Linked DNA regions of Ovis aries. The protein of the gene in region 2 interacts with the protein of the main gene of each other region in a biochemical or structural test. Links are inferred from orthologs where the notes say so. Each region holds a gene or a part of one and is shown on either strand. Other genes may lie near its edges.

What was found.
Region 1: the proteins of PKD1 (region 2) and HDAC9 form a complex in vitro, tested with the Homo sapiens proteins (2 studies listed by BioGRID, with this or other methods). The link is inferred for Ovis aries from reciprocal best matches to the Homo sapiens genes PKD1 and HDAC9.

The regions. Positions count from the first base shown.
Region 1 is NC_056057.1:28,171,240-28,175,053, reverse strand, and holds part of HDAC9 (histone deacetylase 9), read right to left. Parts: intron 3,342-3,814; coding exon 3,191-3,341; intron 2,210-3,190; coding exon 2,083-2,209; intron 1-2,082. UniProt on the Homo sapiens protein: Responsible for the deacetylation of lysine residues on the N-terminal part of the core histones (H2A, H2B, H3 and H4).
Region 2 is NC_056077.1:2,155,409-2,159,222, forward strand, and holds part of PKD1 (polycystin-1), read right to left. Parts: intron 3,601-3,814; coding exon 3,456-3,600; intron 3,349-3,455; coding exon 2,728-3,348; intron 2,499-2,727; coding exon 2,342-2,498; intron 2,248-2,341; coding exon 1,995-2,247; intron 1,915-1,994; coding exon 1,719-1,914; intron 149-1,718; coding exon 1-148. UniProt on the Homo sapiens protein: Component of a heteromeric calcium-permeable ion channel formed by PKD1 and PKD2 that is activated by interaction between PKD1 and a Wnt family member, such as WNT3A and WNT9B. Both PKD1 and PKD2 are required for channel activity.

The DNA.
Region 1 (3,814 bases), on a different chromosome or scaffold from region 2:
TAAACATAGAGAAGGACTTCAGTTTTTAAAAATTGCTAGGTAGTCCATGAAAGTACAGGGAGAGAGAGTACTACGCCAAGAGACCCAGGTTTCCTGACTTCGACAGCAGTTTCAAGGTAAAGACTGAAGACACATTCTTCTTTGTATGAAACTGAACTCTCAAAATGTGTTATCTTTCCCCGCATTAATACAAGTGAAAGAGATACAGTTGTGTCAGTGGAGAATAGTTCAGGACTGAACATAGACTACCTAGCCAATATAAACATTTATAATCATTATATATGAAGAAAACATTAGATAGGACATAGTATCAACACCATGATGATACTAGTATTATTTCTTTGAATCAACAATCTCAAGATAACTAGTGTGAGGATATTTCATCTGATCATGATTGGCAAAAAAAAGTATTAAGTTCAGATTTCACAAATTAATGACTTATGGCTAGCTATCCAGGAGTTGGATCCTACTATTCAGTACAAAAAAAAAAAAAAAGGATTGCTAAGTAACATTGGAGAGCCATGTCGAATATACCCAAGGGAACAGCTAAAGAATTTTCAGCTGACAAGTTGTTTGCATGTAGCTGCTTCCCACTTTTAAAAAAAGGAATTATCTTTTCTTAAAAGAGGCTTTAACTTAGAAGGGATATGAATTAGTTATAAATTATATATGTAATTCTAGGTAATAAAACAAAATTTCTTTTTCAATATTTTTGATGTTGATTGAACATGTGGAAATTTTCTTCAGGGACTGGTTTTTCAAGTCAATTGACATGCATGATAAAAATCATATAAATTATTAAAAATTATTTATATAGCATTCTGGAATCTGCCTTATTTACCTTTTTGTTTTTGGATGCAGAAATGGGAAGATACTTATAGGACAGAATTAGAAAAACAATAACTCTTTAAATAGAACTCCTGGCATACTTGAAATGTCAAGATAACAGAATATCAAATAATTCCAATAATCAAGCATTTACTCCCTTATCCTTATGATGTAATTAAAAATATGTAAGTATAAAATCCTAAACATATTTTATAAATATGAGAGGTGAAAGCAAAGTCACTCGGTTGTGTCTGACTCTTTATGACCCCATGGATTGTAGACTACCAGGCTTCTTCATCCATGGGATTTTCCAGGCAAGAGTACTAGAGTGGGCTGCCACATCCTTCTCCAGGGGATCTTCCCAACCCAGGGATCGAACCCTGGTCTCCTGCATTGTAGGCAGACGCTTTTACCATCTGAGCCATCAGGGAAGAGATATGAGAGAGATGAAAGTATAATCTATTAGTCTATATTGAGATATGCTTTGCCTATCAGTTTTTCTCCTGATTTTTAAAAATACCACTTCCCTCATACTGTACGGAAAAAATTGTGTGTTGCATAGTATCTCTTTACTGGACTTGGAGAAACAAGGTTGCATAAAAAACCATAATACCACAGTGTATTATGTGTCAACTTATATGTTAAAAACCAATATACTCTCATTTTTCAGGGTGGGCAGGGCTAAACTGGTCACTAAAACTTAGATGTATCAGTCAGCTACTTTTCTTGTCTTCCCTTCTCTTCCTTCCTTTGTCTTCCTTTTCATTTTTTTTAATTATGTCAAAAATCTTCTGGACTTAAAAAAAATAACTCAGATATCCATCTTATATAAAGCCAAGTAAAATAAAATCTCAACCAGCCAAATCTTCAGAAATAATTGTAGAGATATCAGATGTACCATCTGAGAATAGAAAAATGCAAAATATGAATTAATTTCTATGCCCCACCTTACATTTATCAGTTATTCATTCGGCAAAGAACATGCATAATACTTTGTAGCCCTCAAGGTGGTACTTGCTAACACTTATTTAAGAGCTAATCTCTGTTACACACTTTACCACATTATTTTACAGGACCTTTCCAGAAATCCTCTTTTTTACAGAGAAATATTCCAAGCACTAGAGAATTCAAGGAACTTGCCCTCGGCCATATAGCTCAGAACTTGGCAGGCCAGGGATCTGTGCCCAGGTCAGCTGAATTGAGAACCTGTGATCTTTACCCCTGGGGATGAAGAAAGCCAAACGCTGAACATACGTGTACCAGAGCTTGGGATGGCGGCTCACGGAATGATTTTTTCCATTAGTTGGAGTGTCTTTTGTTGCTGATTTACTCAACAGGAATTCTTGAAGCTTCTGCTTTACTTCTGTACTTGCCACTGCCCCTGAAACACACACACACAGAAACAGATGGTGATTTGGGGTTCTGTCTTTTCCTGCCTCTGGAATATTACTGGTCACAGCATATGAGTTTTCCTATTAAAAGAAAAAACGAGAGTCTAAACAGGCTTTAGAAAATGACATAGTAATGTTTCATAACTACTGCTTCAACTGCCAATTTTCAAAAGACCTCCGATGATTTAATTGCTTTTACAGAACGGGGATTCCCAGAATTAATAGTAGTTTTTTCCTAAGCTTTAAAAAATACTGCTGAGGAACGAAGCACTGTTTTTTAAAAGTCAGGAATCTTGGGGGATGATATAAGTGATTAAACACATTTAAATGAGCTCTTCTGAATTTCTAGTTTTCAAAAACTAACTTAAAAAAAGGAAAACTTTTGAGCGTTAAACAAATAAATAATGCTGACAATTTCAGTTCAAGTCATCACATTTTAAACCTTGCTACGACCTGATTTTGAACTGACCTCATGCAGGGGAATTATTTGGATCTGTCTCCCTCTTGTGGATAGTTTTTTGTTTTTTTTTTTTTTTTTTAAACACAAGTTCTACCTTAAATCTTTCCAAAGTCTGGGTACTTAAAAAGTAAATGAGACAAGGCTTGACTTATTAAACAGCAATCACTACTTGAATGGGAAGAAGGTGGAGTAATGTGGAAGTAAGTTTATCATGAAACACAATGGCATAGCCATATTGCCTTAGCATAACGTTATTTTTAAGGTGCAAAATAAAAGATATTATCATCTTTGCCAAGTAAGGTTAAATTTACTTCCAAAGATGCCTGTAGACTGAATGCAAAGAGCTGACATCTGAATTTCAAAGCTTTACATTTGGGCCCATAATTTATTCTTTTACTTAAACACAGACAATTTTGACAAGTTTAATTCCACTCTTTATCAGGCTCCTTTCTGAATGACAATCAGCTAAAGATGAGGGAAGAGACCCATCTTTTACCCTGGTGCCTCTTACTTTCTCGTCCTCTATCTTTGCCTCTGAGAGGAGGAAGCTGCTGTTCTCTGCGATGCCTCTCTACTTCCTGTTCTTGCCTCTGCTGCTCCAGTTTCTGCTCCTTTTCTAGCAGTTCTTGCTGCTGTTTTATGGCTAGAAGTTCCTGTTGCAACTTGCGAGAAGAGAAAGACATGAGAGTGTGCAATTTCTTTAGGCTTCATAGTCATCAACGACCAAAATCGAAATGTTATGAGCTTTTGGAACTTACTTCTATTTACTTTACATTTTACCCTTTTTTTTTTTGTAGATTATTGAAATCTAAAGACAAGCAACTAATGCCATTAACTGTTTTACTGTCATTAACAAGCAAGTTTTTAGGTAGCTTCATTACCTACGCCGTCCTATCAGAATATTACCAAATTCACGCAGATCTTCAGTTCCTTGAGTGACTTTTCTTTGTGCATCTGAAATATATGATACAGCAAAGAAAACCAGGAATTTCCCAGTCTGTTTTACCAAGTCCCTCACAACATAAACAACTGAAATCTTAACTTCTTATCCTAAGAAACAGTATGAACATAATTAAACTGAGCAGAATAGTGAGATATGAATTAATTTGGGAAAAATACATCTGAAATAAAATGA
Region 2 (3,814 bases):
ATCTTCCACAGGCGGCCCAGGCTGTGTGGGGTGGCGATCTGGAAGACATCCAGGCTGTTGCGCTGGAAGGCTCCATCCCCATCCAGGTGTCGGTGGCCGCTGCGGCCATCTGCCCCATACAGCATGATGCCCACGTGAGCCGTGGTCCCTGGAGCAGGGGCAGACATGGGCGCAACTCTGGGTTTCTGTCCATGGACACTGACCCCGGGTGCATCTGCCTGTAGATCTCCCTTCAACAGGCATGGCCCTCGCCCCATGGCTCTGACACAGATGACCTCAGGCCCTCACACTGTTCCACAGACGGCCCCAGTAGCAGTGGAGCATTAACTGTGAGCGGCCACATGGACCAGAAGCGCGGCTGCCAGCCTGCAGTCTGCTGCATAAGGGACCTGCGTCCTGGTGGTGACTGGCGGCACCGCCTCTTCCACAGCCTGCTGCTGACCAGCCCCCACGCGCCCGTCTCACTCCAACCAAGAAGCACACAGTGGTCTCGCCCCGTGTCGGCCACAATAAACCCACAAGATGCTCTATGAATGTCATAGAGAGGAACAGAAAAAAACATCAAAGATGAAAATTTCCCTGGACTTCCTTGGCAGTCCAGTGGTAAAAATCTGCCTTGCAATGAAGGGGACATAAGTTTGATCCCTGGTCCCAGAAGATTCCACTACGCGGTGGGACAACTCGGCCCGGGCGCCTCAGTGATGAAGCCTGGGCTCTAGAGCCCGTGAGCCGCAGTATTGAGTCAGCACCGGGAGCCCGTGCTCCACAGCTAGAGAGGAGCGCCCGCGCCTCTAGAGAAAGCCCACACAGCAACGGAGACCTGGGGCAGCTTCAGGATAAACACACAAAACCTTAAGAAAACAAACACTTTCCTAATAAGAGAGGGAACCTGGTGATAAACACGAAAGCACAACAAAGAGATGAAAACCGGTACCGAAAAAGTGCACTTTGAATCAAAGGCAAACACGCAACTGAAGACCCAGCCAACTGTGCGGCTCCTGCTGCTGCCCCAGGCCCTAAAAACGCCGCCAGTGGCAATGAGTGGCCAACATGAGCGAGGACACTGGTTGCAACAAAAAGGATGAAGACACCGCAGAGCAACCAATACGGCAAATGCTTCTTCACATGCGATGAGCTCTCAGAGGTGCTTCACAGCAGGAGCAAGGACGACATGGACAGTAAAATGACCTCTGGCCAAAACACAAGGACGCCCCTAAGGCAGTGCTCACTGACGGGAACACCGCTCAGACTACTCGCTCAGTTTCCCACAGAGAAACAAGATGCCTGATCTCAGCGTCCAACACGCAGTACTGACCCCACGCCAAGCTGCTTCTCTGATGGCTGTAACTGATGGTCAGAGAGCTAGCGACATTGTGAAAACAATTTTTTCACCCAGACCACCCGCTACCGTTTAGTAATCACCTCCCATACGGATAGATGCGCTTCCTTGGGGGCTCAAACGGTAAAGAATCTGCCTGCAATGTAGGAGACCCAGGTCTATCCCTGGGTCGGGAAGATCCCCAGGAGAAGGGAATGGCAACCCACTCCAGTATTCTTGCCTGGAGAATCCCATGGCAGGCTATAGACCGTGGGGCCACGTAGTGACTAAACCACCACACAGTTGATGGTTCGGCTGGTCCTGCCCGCCTGTGCGTGCCAGTGGGACTGCATGCCCACAGGCCACTGCATGTGGACCTGCCCTGCTGGAAGCCCCTCACCTGAGCCCCGGCCCCAGCCAGTCTTGACCAGGATCTCGTACTTGAAGCGGCCCCCCTTCCCGCAGAACGGGATGGCGCGGACCCGGCGGATGTCCAGCTGGTCCAGCTTCCGCAGGATCACGGCCATGACTGCGTAGGTCAGCAGGCACACGGCGCAGGTCAGCAGGACGACGTGGTTGACGCCGGAGGCCGACTCCTAGGGAGACAGGCCCGTCAGCCCCGAGGCCGCGCACCATGGCGCCGGGCTCCCCTCCGTCTGGGTGCGGCGCCACTCACAGGGAAGGTGAACTCGACGCGGCTGGCGGGCACGAAGAGGCTGGCGCCGAAGGCGGTGAGGTGGCGGGTGAGGCAGACGGCCTCGCGGGGCGAAGTCTCCTCCAGCGGCGCCAGCCCCTCCGTGCGCCACGCCATGTGCTCCTCGCTGAAGTACTGACAGAGCGACGTGTACAGACCCACGGACACCGCCAGCGCCGACCAGCGGAAGTGGCTGCTCAGGTTCAGGTGGTAGCTCGCGCCCGAGTCTCGGGACCTGGAGGGGGGCGTGTCACAGCCAGGCCCCGCCCCACCCACCCGGCCACTCCCACCGCAGGGAGCCCGCCCTCTGAGGCCCGGTGCGCGCGCACCCCGGGGCGAGGAAGAAGGTGTAGGGCCTGTGGTCGCCGCCCGCCAGGGCCTCCAGGCTGATCCTCTTGCTGGCTGAGCAGTTGTGCTCGTTGGGCCAGGGCTCCGAGTGCAGGTAGGCGGCCAGGAAGGGCTCGGGCTCGTCCGGCAAGTACTGTTCTGTGGGCGGGCGGCACGGGCAGGCTCAGACCCCTGCCCAGGCAGCCCACATGCCCTGGGAGCCCACCCATGGCCCTCCGGCCGGGCCCCTAGAGCCTCATGAAGCAGGACATAGACCGCAAGTTGGGGGTGCCCGTGAGAAACGCCGGTTTAGCTGGCCACCCTGCAGCCCCACACGGGCTGGGCCGAGAGAGGAGGCCGCCCACCAAGGGCCCCGCCAGCCACGCACCATCCAGCACCGTGAAGGTGAGCTGCAGGTGCAGCCCCGCCTCGGGGTTGCTGTTCTCAGGAGTGACCACGACGCTGACTGAGGCCCGGGGCTGGATGACGGCGGAACCGGCAGAGACGTGCTGGCCCTGGGCGGCCTGGTCCGAGTTGTTGGGCACCTTCACAGTGATGGCGCGCTCTGAGGCGAGCTGCCTGATGGGGATCTGGGCGCCGGCCTGCGTCTGAAAGGCCATGGAGGCCACCTTGGTGGAGACGGTGTAGTTGCTGATGTAGCCGAAGGGGAAGGGGTTGGAGTCCACGAGCAGGATGAGCTGCACCACATCGCTGAGGTTGGGCAGGGCCGCGCTAAAGGCCTCGGGGATGGAAAAGTGGCAGCCAGGGCCTGGGGCGTCACCCTGGCACAGCAGGCTCCGCGGGTCCGAGCGCTTGCCCTGCGCCAGGATCTCCTCGCCCGCCAGCGTCAGGGGCTCCTCGTTGAGCACGCGGGAGCGCGTGAGAATGCCCACGAGGGCGGACGAGAGCTGGTAGGCTCTGGATGCCACCAGGAGTGAGGGCGGCTCCGCCCCCAGCTCCGAGGGCTGTGGGCCCTGCACATCCGAGCTGGCCACGTGGATGAGGTCACCTGTGGGCGGGAGAGGAGGTGGGGGGAGGCAAGTGAGGGGAGGCAAGTCGGGGGAAACAAGTGAGGGGAGGGGTGTGGGGGGTCCGAGGTCGGCAGGGGCGGTGCACCTGTGATGTTGAGGATGCTGTCTGCGATGGAGGTGGGCGTCCCCGCGCCTGTGGCGGTCTCCGCCTGCAGGATGCGCATCATGTCCTCCAGCCTGTGCAGCGTCTTCTTCAGGCACGAGCGGCATACGAGCTCCCGGCTGGGCACCTGCAGGGCGCCCGCACCGTGTCCAGCTGGCTGGCCAGGCCAGGTGGGGCTCACCCCGCTCACCCTGCCCCTAGCGCAGCTGCTGCAGGGGCCTCCCCGCCTCCTCCGGCCGATTCGAAGCACCCATCCCCCTGCATTCTGCAGAATCCACGCTGAACACACCTCTGCCCCCAGTCTCTCTCCTGGGAGCCCCTCAGTGACCCTTCCTCACATG